Bombyx mori: one gene and its partners. The protein of the gene in region 1 purifies or fractionates together with the protein of each later gene. This does not show direct contact. Links are inferred from orthologs where the notes say so. Each region holds a gene or a part of one and is shown in the gene's direction. Other genes may lie near its edges.

Region 1 (4,163 bases):
AGAAAAGGTTTGTGAAGATAATGTGACGGTGGGTTTTTTTTTAATTAGAATTTTGTAGTGCATTGCCTTCTTCGTATAATATTACTAAAAATACTATACTATCTGATGAATGAGGTACATAAGTAGATATCAAAATTTTTAACAGAAAAAATGCATTCATGCATGCTTACAAGAAAAGGGCGAATTTTAGTCAAATTTTTAAAATTTTATTTAAACAAACAATTATAATAACAGTATTCAAACTGAACGTAGGAGTATGTATCTGATAATACTGCATTCTTTAATAATATATTTCAATTAGTTTATAAAAAATAACCTCCCGTATCGGTCTCCAATTCGAAGCGTGACCTATTTTCTTTTAAGTTAAAATTAATTGCAATATTTGTGCGTTTTGATTATTGACATCAAAAATGTTTTGATTTCAGTTCCTGACATAACACGAATTTATGTGAATCGATAAAATTCAATAGCATTTTTTCTTCGAAAGCATCAAGCATTAACCATAAAAACGAGTTTAATCTACCTTTATAATTTTATAGTCTCAAGCGTACGTTAAGAGTTACTTTTGTGTCCCATAACACATATTTACATAACTCGAAACACTTTAATTTATAGTTTGCAGTTGGACATGTGCCGTGCTGCTTCCAAACAAATTAGAATTAACTAATAACCTCTCCGTCCAAACAGCAATTTGATGAAGAAATTTGTTTCGTCTCAAGTGCTGGATAGCACATCCTAAAAATATAGTAAACAAATGCTTGGATAGGATTGCTTGGATAGGATAAATAAAAGGAGTACATAGTTGATTCCTGTTCGTAATTTACGGTTACCCAAGGTTACATTTGGATTCCCCAAGAGAACACTTTCGGTGCACTCGAGTTAAACAGTCCGGTTTATCAACACCAGCACGGGCCACAATGCGTAGTTATTAAGTTTTATTACGTGGTGGCTTTTTTTTTTAGTCCAACGCATACCTGAGTCTTTCTCGACGTTTACCTGTGCTTCGGAGAGGGAGTAAGGGACTGTAGAACTAGTGATGTTTAGAATCGGCAGTGCTGTTCCCTAACACACATTAAACACGCGTTATACCTGTTACAATTTATTTAGAGCTTGCATTAGTAAATGATTAAGTAATTTTGGTGTTTCTTTAAATAATGGCTTATTTTCGGTTTTAAATGAGTAGGTGCTGTTTTAGATCGGTGCGAGCTTTTGACCGTATCTTTATCAAAGATTTCGCTTTTAAATAGAAACATACGTAATTACTTTTTATCTCATCGTGCACGATCTTATCACGTCAAAGATATCCATTCAAGGATATGTACAAGAAAACCAAATTTCCCGCCCAAAGTGTCGATCATTGCGGTAACGAGTCTGAAAAGCGTTAGATCTGTGGGTGCGCCCGCGCAACGCAAGCCTCCAGAAACCGGCCGGGCCAGTACACGATGGAAGTTAGTGCCGGGCGCTCGTGTCTGAGGCAGCTTCGCGAGTGATGTCGCAGCATGGTCGCTGCTCGTGCCTTGTTGTGGTGCCTGTGCCTTGCCGCTTTCGGGACGGTGGACGCCGCCAAACACCGCAACCACCATCCCGTCAACTCAAGACATAAACATTCGGAATTCGTTAAAGGAAAAAGTAAGTGCCGCCCACGGATCCAGTGCGTGTATTATAAATTGTGAAAGAAAAAAAAAAAACAAAAAAAAACAAATGTAGTGTACGTTTGTAACGTGACCTCAATCGGTGGAACAAAGCTGTAAAATAGCGCCATAAACTTGTAGCAATAGACTTAGTACGGTCTAATCGCGGCAATAAAATAAACAAAGCTTATCTCGAGGCTACAGACGTAGCCTTATATAGTTCGGAAAGCTGGGTGTCGGTACAGTGAACTGAACGAGAGGCTGTGCGCAAGCATGGCCCGTCAACGCGAAACAATTAAATCACATCTTGCCTGTGACAATGTTCTCTCAGGGAGCGTCAAAAGGATGCGACTCGAACTCCTTTGAGACCAGTTTTAAATAGGCAAGGTGCGCTTTTGTTAAGCGTTCTGACTTCCACGCTTGTGCAGCTTTTATGTGCCATGCTAAGATCGTGTTAAATTTATTTTAAAACTTTAACAAATATACTTGTTATTGAACTTAAGCTTGATGATGGCATGGTAAGCCAACGTGATTTCTTAAAATATATTTTTTAAAGATCATTTGCTCACGAGAAATCCTATAATAAGCCTAATGAATGAAAATAAAGGTTTTCATCTGATAGAAGCTTGCATTAAAGCACAGCAAACAAAAGCTTTACTACGGTATATTTTAAGGTACGGTACGGTACGGTACGGATGTTTTTGTTGTTTACCTTAAGCAAAAAATTGTATAGATTTATAAGCGAGATATAATGCAATAACAAATTTACAGGGGGGGGGGATCGAACGCTAAATTTAAAACGCATATCTAATATACATTTGTTACAATAAACAAAAAAATACCAACAATAAAATGACAGCGTCTTCGTAGTTGTCAATCTATTAAAAAAATACTATCCAGACAGACAAGCATGTTCAGGACTACAAACATTTATGTAATTTCTCCAGTGAATACTATAGCATATGATCTACTTGTTAGCAAGCGGTCACCATCTCCGCGAACATCTACAATTAGTGACACAGCTAAACTACCCACTAAAAGTAATATGTGTAAAATTATATGTGTATAGTCAAATTTTCCTAAAAATAGTCTGCAGCTTACGTGAAAAGCAAAAAAAAAATTCAATAAATGTCGCCATAAAAATATTGGCGCCACAACACACACACACACACGCCCACTGTAGTATATATTTAAGGCGCGTAATAACCAAATTATTGACAATTCTCTAGCAACAAATACACGCAATAGAGTCCTGAGTATTGTTTTACCAATAAGATTAGCTCCATTTGTATTAGATAATTGAAGCCAAGGCAATAATAAAGGTGTTTTTCTCAACATATCGCATACGCGGGTAATCAAACATAAATAATGTTTGTTAGCTAATTAATTATTTTAAACGATCTCTGACATCTTGTATGTGATAAACAAATTTAATTGAATTCTCTGATAATTTACATACAAATACGATACCTTTATCACATACATAATATCAATTGAAAATCTTGGTAATGAGTTGTGACCTCTGCCGTTTCTTGGTGTAGATATAATAATAAATTATAAATAAAGCATAAATCTCACTTAGTTATTTGTATGAAGAGGGTAAGTGAGGATAACTCGGAATGTCGCACAGATATGGACTTTATGTCAAGGTAGGAAGTCATATATTTTTTCACTTTTATTATTTATTCCAAAGTCTGCTCTGGTCCCGTATTGTAACAAAGCAGTATCATTATTGCCGTAAATCTTAAGCAGCAGTAACTATGAAATCTACAATCACTCAAATCAGTTAGTCTGAGTTGTGAAGGACTGAAACTTACAATGGAGCTTTATATTATTGCCAAAAATAAAGCACGTTTTATTTAGCTGCTCTGAAAAAAAAAACACCAAACATTATTTTTATAACCGCGACTCAATGGCCTATTGTTTTATTATAGTCATTGGTTTGAGTTTAGCGAAAACTTCGTTGTATTTTTTATTTTATTTTATTGGTACAACATTTTTTTATTGGCAGGCTTGAGAAAGCATTGGCACGCTTAAACTGTTTTGAACTACATTGTTGTACATATAGTGTCGATAATTCATTAGACAGGTAAATATCGTCATTCGTAATTGGAATTTGTAATTTCATCAAAAGAAAAGTCAAACGACAAGCAATTGCCTACTTTTGCTTTGGAATGCTGATGAATCGTTAGAATCGAATGTTTTGAACAATTTGTGACGCATCAATGGCAAAATAACGGTATCTTGATAGTTATTTCAATGATTATGTTCTTTTAAAAAAATTTAGAAATGTTATATTCGAATTCATTAACATTTCTTAGTTCATAAAACTTCGTTCTAAATTCCACACTTAAATTATTTTAATATTAGATTTTTGTGTGGGAAAATGATGACCTTCGTTTATATAGTTTGTAATTTAATACGTTCGTATAAAATTAATCGAAGTATTAGTTTTAAAAATTTTTTGCATGGGTGCCACCAGTGTTAAGTGATTCGTGAAAACCATAGTGGATTAGTTCCCGATAGCTTTAT
Region 2 (4,328 bases), on another chromosome or scaffold:
ATTTTTAATCAAACTTTTCTAATTTTATTATACATTTTTTTGGTTTTATGTATTTATTTGCTTTCAAATTAAGAAAGGAGAATTAGCAAAATTGTATTTTTGTAAGCAGATTTTTTATTATGAATTTTTCAAAATTAATTTTGCAGTTGTAAATAAAATTAAGTACATGCTATTGCCCTTATTTTTTTGGATAGCAATAAACTGTTTCTGTTTGGCAAAAATATGTTACAATTTACTGATTATAGTCCTCCATTTAAGTGGTAATTATTTCACGTATCGGAACTTTTGTATCATATTAAACTTGATGCCGGCTAGAAAGGCAAAGGCAGTTATTACTAGAATCCAATTGCTAGTTTGAACCTCATGTCATAATTTGGCATTCATGTTTTGATGTCTATGAGCTTCGGTAACCACATCAAACTAGGCGGGCTTTGATCTCGCTCACGCGTTCAAGCAAATAAATAGCAAAAATAAACACAACAGTAACGAAATGTAAAATAGTGATTATTTGTAAGATAATATCGATGAAGTTAAAGAATATTTCATCACAACCACAATATTTAAAAAAAATATGGTGCGTGTACAACTTGGTGCACGTGAAAAAAGGGAAACTTCTTTTGTGGTGTGTAGTATTGTGGTTTTCTTCATTTTTCATCTTTAAATCAAATTTCCCCATTAATAAGGAATGCTATATATAAGATAAACTATCTAGCTCACTTTGTCCTTTCCCTCTCTCCACGGTCGAGTGGTTCATGAGACGCTCTGTCTATTTTCTCACTCTCGGTCTTCCTTAATGAGAAATATGTATATGCTGAAAGTGAAAAAAAATTAGCCAAGTTACCATTCAGGCAATATCATTTTGTGGTCTTTAATGGCAAGTCGTCCTTCGTCCATAGTCGTCCTTCTAGTCTACATTCTGCTGAAAAGTTTAAATTTAGACCTAAGTTTTGATGGCAATTCGTCTCTTAAACTTAGTTGGGGCGTCTGAATCTAAATCTTTTAGTCAATTTCAATATTTTCATAATGAATTAGGTTTTTAAATTCATCTACATGTTTTACGAATCCTTATAGTAGACGATTCTTATAAGTGAGATCCAATTCAAATGTAGAATGAATTTGTTTTTAGTCTTTACAGGTAAAGTTGATGTTATGTTCCTTGCCAGTATCAAAAACACACATGAATGCAAGTAAATTTTCGAGCTAAAAACACAGCTGCAAAGTGGCAACATTTTGATTTTTTTGTCAATTTGTAAAGTGAGTGATGTGTTGAGTACAGACGGATTCCGATTGGGTTTTTCTAAATTTGTAACTAAAACGCATCTTTTTTATTCAACATTGTGAGACAATACGTGCATTATGATTATTTTACTTCCTTGACATTAGACATTTTGGAAAGTTTGTGTACTTTAAGAGTTATTTTTAAGAATTCGGTGACATTTCAGTGAAGTGCCTAATTTGATCATGGAGGCTCTAGCAAAACACGATTTTACTGCAACCGCAGATGATGAGCTCAGTTTTAGAAAAAATCAAGTATTAAAAGTAAGTTAAATATTTATTTAACTTTTTGTTTTGTTTAATACCTAGCGATAGTTCTTTCTAGAATGGTTCCTATTGCAGATTCTAAACATGGAGGACGATATGAACTGGTACAGAGCTGAATTAGACGGGAAAGAAGGGCTCATTCCTAGTAATTACATACAAATGAAAAATCACAGGTAAGTGGGATATCTAATATTTCTAGTCTTAAAATTATAACTGATACTTATAACGATTTTAAAATATTCTTAATTAAAATAACCAGTTTATTTTTGACTTAGGTTTTATTTGTGAAAGCAAGAAGATATTGCTCTTGTGTAGCTATGTAGAGATCTCAGATAAAATTTAGAAAAAGAATGTTTTCATTTCATTCCAAACATTTGCTGAAGAAAACTGATAATGTAAACATTGTTTGTTTATAATTAAACTTGGGCTGGTCTACTCATTTTTATTTACATTTAACTACTATGGTATCCGGAGAGTGTTGCCAAACCTAATCTACAAAGTCATTTCATTATTCTTTAGAAGAAGAACATACAAAATGAATGTTATTTATAGATACACAACAGAAATTTCATGTAACTTACCAGCTGCCACTAAACTAATCAACAAATGTTTGTTTACATTACCAATTGTAATAATAAAAGCCAAAGTGTCTTTAAACATATGAAGTGTATTTTGAAAGGAGAAAACAATATTTGATTTCAAAGTAAATTATAAATTTGGTGTATTTTTTATTACACAATTAAGAATTACGAAAAGTGCTTTTTTTATTTGAGTACTAAACTTTATTTCATGATTCTCAATGAGAAAAGATTTGAATAGATAGAAGGTAGTTATTAAACATATATTAAAGAGAATGGTCTCTTCAACTAGAATCTGATTATACATCAGAAATAAACCTGTTGATTTTGTAAGTGCTAATGCTTTGCCAAGCAATAAAATTAATGTGAAGGCTATGCCTGAAGTGATACAAATGCTCCTTTAATTCATAGTGTTGAGTAGTACTATAATATGAATGCAGAACATACTACCATGACCACCTAATTTGAGATGTGAGATGCAGTATCAATTGCATTGTGATAATAACTGTCCTAAGGTTCAAACCTAAAGGCACAATTGCTGCAAGACAAATATGGTATACAGAGACACACATACAGTGTATGCTTACAGCATACCTGACCACCAAAAACTACTATTAGTAATAATAGTAATAAAAATTCTAAATATTTGTAGAACATTTACTTATTTTTTGTTTATACCTTACTGGTGTATTGTGTGGTGTATATTGTATCAGCTAGACTGGAAGAGAAATCTAAGCACATCCAGTGCATCGACTTAATGAATTGGATGTCAGAATGAGGTCACAAACCACCTTGTGTCAAGTAGTTACAGGAGCTTATAGATATTACGGTGTAAATTCTCACTATCCACCAGTTTTAAGGATTAAAAACTGTCTTGGGACATATTAAAAAAAAACCATAATTTTTAAGTAATTATTAATTTGAAAATAGTAAGTATTTGTATTTTAAAGGTGTGCCTACATAACCTCTCTTTTTCAGTTGGTATTATGGGCGTATTACAAGAGCAGATGCAGAAAAACTCTTAGCAAACAAACCTGAAGGTGGCTTCTTGATAAGGATCAGCGAATCAAGCCCTGGCGACTTCTCCTTATCAGTCAAGTAAGTCCTTTGTATTTTTACATGTAATGTTTATTATTTTTCACAGTAATAATAATCATTATTTATTATTTCTCTTTTAAAGTTATAGTACAAATACAAATAGAGATTAACCTTACAATTTATTTTGTTAGCCTTTGAAAGAACTGCAGTCTGTACTAGGTTCAAAGACCTGTATTACTGATCTCCAGGCTCCCTGCTTCTTAGGATAGATTAGGCTAGGTTAAGTCATGAACAGATGTCGCAGACTAAGTGTTGAGAGATCATTAGGTGTTATCATTTAAGTAGATATCAGTAGTTATCATTCCAACAGAAGACCGTTCATTATTATTATTTAAATAAACAATTTTATCTGGATGGAATGTTTTCTGTATGTTTGCATGTAAATAACTTAGTGTTTCTCTAAATGTTTTATCAATAGAGTCTATTAGTAATAAAATAAAAAGCTCCCTTATGTAATACTTATAAAACTAATATTGTATGTATATAGTATATTACAGCTTATAACTAAGGGAAAATTGTCTTTGTCTTAACAGAAAAATACATTATAGCAATGCTATCTAAAAATATATATTGGAATCACAATAACATTTACATTTTAAGTTCAGGTGAATGACCAGCATTTGCATCCACGGGTCACTGCAGTATAAATAAAGTAAATGAAGAGTAAAAAGAACCATCTATAGTCTTATGCAATTTAACATTGAAAAACCATTATAAGATAAATGTATTTAGGACGTCAGAAAATGTAATGTGTAAATAAATACTTTGTAAATGTAGTTTTAACCATGTGTGCGAATTCTAAAACTGAGTGAATATTAAAACATTTTATCTATTCATGGAAGGTTGGTCATAAGATAGATAGAGAACTTGATAAATTCAGAATTTTTCTTATCTCAATAATAAGAAAAATACACCATCTGAAATACGTACAAATAAATACATTCCATCCTTATCAAATTTTCTAGAATGACTAAACTTTATTTCCTTCTACAGTCAACAATAAAGAAAAAAAACAAACTATGACAAATACAATACTACTCATTTTACTTGTAAAGCTGTAAAATTTACCTCATATTCATCATGTGAACTAGTTCTGTTGAGTTTCTGTAG
Region 3 (3,657 bases), on another chromosome or scaffold:
ACGATAGGACAGGCCTTCGAGTTGCGTTTTAAGGAATTTTTAACGAAACCCTCGACGTAAGTTGAATATTTTTTTAATTTTAATATGCGACTAATGTGGGTCATCCGTTCATTCAATGTAAATTACTTAAATTAACAAGCAATGTGAAATGTAAATGTAAAAGAAAATGTCAAAGCTCAAATGCATTGTTAGAGAATTTTAAAATGTAAAAATATCAGTACAAAGATATTCTGCGAAAGCCCAATTACGTATACTGGACCATATAAAGCCAAAGCTCCATGTGTAATGAGTCATAATTTGAAAGTTTTCCTCATATGAAGTCATCATTCCTAATATACCAATTTGTGTCACATAGTCTGTCTGACCCGCTTGAATTATAGCAAAGGTATTGTGATCATGAATGATTACAAATGATTGCTTTATCATAATGTTATTCATTTTAGAACTAAATAGACCTAATGACCCGTGAATAAGCTATTGGATAATCTATTAATGTGGATACTATATTATTTTCGTGAGGGATTTCCAAGGGAGATGAAAGTATTAATAATGCAAATGGTTTCTATATTAGCTATGAAATGACGTAATTCGTGCTAACTGTACCATGTGAAACGAGAAATAAATTATCTAAACTAATGTTGCTTCTAAATAAATTAAAATAAAATATAGTTTATCATCATTAGATAACCTTGAACCATTTGTATTATCAACGCAAACTTATGTCCGTAAGCATTCATTGAATTCGATGAGTAACAATCATGCAGTATCCTTAGGTATTTATGAATCACTCATTCAGAACTTGTTAGGAAACGTATTATGACCTGCAAGAATTCTGTGTGTATTATGTGTAAATGCGAACTGTGGGCACTGAATTTGCGGAAGACTAGTCACAATCGACCAGCAACACTATTGATAGCAGGGTGTTTCATTCGCCTGCAGGGTATGCTAACATCGCTCGTCTAGCTATCTCTGCTTAGAAACCACCTTGCGTTCCCGCTTAAGTTGGGGCTTGAGTATTACTATAAGCCAATAGACGTTTTAGTGGTAGATGTCATCATCCTGCTTATTTCTGTCGCGAATCGGTAATTCGCTCCGGTTCTAAGGGTGGAGCAGTTGTTGACTTTAAAGTTGAAACTTAAAGTCGTTTCCAATGTAACTGGTTAACACTAGTGAAGGCTGCGAAGTGCTGCCACCTGTTTACTTCGAATCGGTTCGCATTATTCTTTTTCGATAAATACATCACTACACATACCGAAACACATACAATTTTTTTTTATTACCCTTGTAGGCAGACGAGCATACGGCCCACCTGATGGTGAGTGGTTACCGTCGCCCATGGACTTCAGCAATACCAGGGACAGAGCCAAGCCGCTGCCTACCGCTTAATATTCTCCACAAGCCTCGTTTGAAGAAGGACATGTCATAGCGCTCGGGAAACACCGTGGAGGGGAGCTCATTCCATAGCCGGATGGTACGTGGCAAAAAGACCTTTGGAAACGCACTGTGGATGACCGCAGTGGCTCCAGGTAGTATAAAATAATAATTCGCGACACCATCACTGACCTTGAAACAGTAGGCCAAGAGGACTGTCCGAGTTTCAGATAGTGAGACCTATTAAAAGATCATCCCCCTAGTTACGCACCATAAATATATCGTATTGTAATGTTTCCAACAGATTAAATCTCAATGGATCTCTGCCCAGCTGCGAAAGCGCTTGTGGGCTAGTGGAGGACAGAGAGTATTACAACGACATGCCGGACAAGGTGCCGCCCGAGCTGGCGCCGACTTCGCACCGCCACCCCCCGCCCCCGCCCCTCGCCTCGCTGACGTCACTCGCACCGCTCTCCTCGTACGTAAAAGATCAATTAAAAACATCGAACTGTTAATACCAAATAAAACGCACCTTTAATAATATTACAAAGTTAAATTTCGCGTATTAAGCGAAATGTCACTTAAGCCCTTCAACCCTCGATATATATTTTGATACACACGATCCGTATGTTTTTATGTGAATTCTAAGCTATTATTTAGTGCTCAGATTTTGGAAAACGATGCAATCAGAAGTTATAATAAACTACTCATATTTAATCTGAATACATTTTGACCTATAATACCCTGAGTTGGCCTGGCCTCTAATGCTAAGTTACATAGGCGGCACTGAAAATTTCGGGAATTCACGAAGTGATACAACATTACTATTTAAAAATGTATTTATTGCTTTTCGAAGTATTCTCCGCGAAATTTGACACATTTTTCCATACGATGGAACCAATCATTGAAGCAACCATTCCATTCGGAAGTTGGGGTCTCCAAAATGTCCGTTTTGTAGGCGTCCACATCTTCTTCAAGTGATGAAAATCTCTGTCCACGCAATTTATTCTTTATTTTAGGGAAAGTATAGAAATCATTAGGGCTTAGGTCGGGGCTGTACGGCGGACGCTCTAATAATTCTATGTTTTCTTGCTCTAAAAACTCTTTTGTTCTGTGCGCGGTGTGAGAACTCGCATTGTCGTGATGGAGGATGATGCGGCGGTTGCAGTTCTCTTTACGGAGTTCAGAAACGACCTGTGGCAAACAAATGCTAGCATACCATTCTGCATTAACCGTTCTTTGTCCCTCAAGAGTAATAGTCGTAACATGGCCGGTTTTGAAGACAAACGTGGCCACCATTTTTTTTGCAACACTCCGTGAACGAACAATTTTTGTTGGCTTTAACTCATTTTCGAACACCCAAACTCGTGACTGGTTTTTTGTTTCGGGTTCGTACGCGTATATCCAGGATTCGTCACCTGATACAATGTTGTATACAGCATTTGAGGATCCTGCATGGAATCTTTCGAGAGTTCTGACGCACCAAGTAACGCGAGCCGCTTTTTGCTCTTCACAGAGCGAATGCGGTATCCATCGGGAAAACAACTTTTTTACACCTAATTGTTCATGCAAGATTATTAGTATTTGACTCATGCCAATGTCTAAAGTTGCCTGAATTTCGCGGTATGTCACATGTCGATCTTCCTCAATCAGCTTACGCACAGCATCAACGTTTTCTTGGGTGACTGCAGTTTTTGGACGACCTTGACGGGGATCATCACTGAGCTTGATACGTCCACGTTGAAACTCAGCAAACCAGCGATAAATTGTGGTTTTGGATGGGGCTTCATCATCAAATGCAGAAATCATCCGGTCAACACACTGTTTTTGTGTTAAATCACTTCAAAGTCATAATAAATCATCGCTCTTGAATTTTCTCGAGTCAATTCCATTTTCTCAACGACTAAACAAGTTTGACAAAACCTCGTGACAAGACCGAGAATCTTTTTTTAAAGAAATAAATGGGATTCGATTTTTAAAACCAAGGAGATTTCGATTAAAAAAATTTTAATATGACAGGAACAGTGGAAATATTCCATTCCCGATACTTTTAGTGCAGCCCTCGTATAATGATAGTGAATAGAGAAGAATTTAATTCGACACGCCACCTAATCGATATATTTTAATTTGAACGTTACAATTCAGTTACAATTCAATTAGGACTTGAAGCTCGTGGTGTATAATGGATGGCAACATTATTGATGTGTCGTATGGTAGCGCTGTATATAGCTTGGTTTTTTTTTTTCGAAGTCCAGTGAGATCTCAGTTACGGGTTACCATTTCAGT

The links.
Region 2: the proteins of epidermal growth factor receptor (region 1) and DRK purify together in Drosophila melanogaster (affinity purification with western blotting; 4 studies listed by BioGRID, with this or other methods). This does not show direct contact. The link is inferred for Bombyx mori from reciprocal best matches to the Drosophila melanogaster genes Egfr and drk.
Region 3: the proteins of epidermal growth factor receptor (region 1) and SHC-transforming protein 1 purify together in Drosophila melanogaster (affinity purification with western blotting; 3 studies listed by BioGRID). This does not show direct contact. The link is inferred for Bombyx mori from reciprocal best matches to the Drosophila melanogaster genes Egfr and Shc.

The regions. Positions count from the first base shown.
Region 1 is NC_085107.1:5,369,754-5,373,916, reverse strand, and holds the start of epidermal growth factor receptor, read left to right. Parts: upstream 1-1,325; 5' UTR 1,326-1,499; coding exon 1,500-1,629; intron 1,630-4,163. UniProt on the Drosophila melanogaster protein: Receptor tyrosine kinase, binding ligands of the EGF family and activating several signaling cascades to convert extracellular cues into appropriate cellular responses. Known ligands include spitz, gurken, vein and giant-lens.
Region 2 is NC_085123.1:5,830,619-5,834,946, reverse strand, and holds the start of DRK (DRK protein), read left to right. Parts: upstream 1-1,461; coding exon 1,462-1,539; intron 1,540-1,617; coding exon 1,618-1,715; intron 1,716-3,098; coding exon 3,099-3,218; intron 3,219-4,328.
Region 3 is NC_085111.1:5,633,741-5,637,397, reverse strand, and holds part of SHC-transforming protein 1, read left to right. Parts: coding exon 1-56; intron 57-1,675; coding exon 1,676-1,849; intron 1,850-3,657.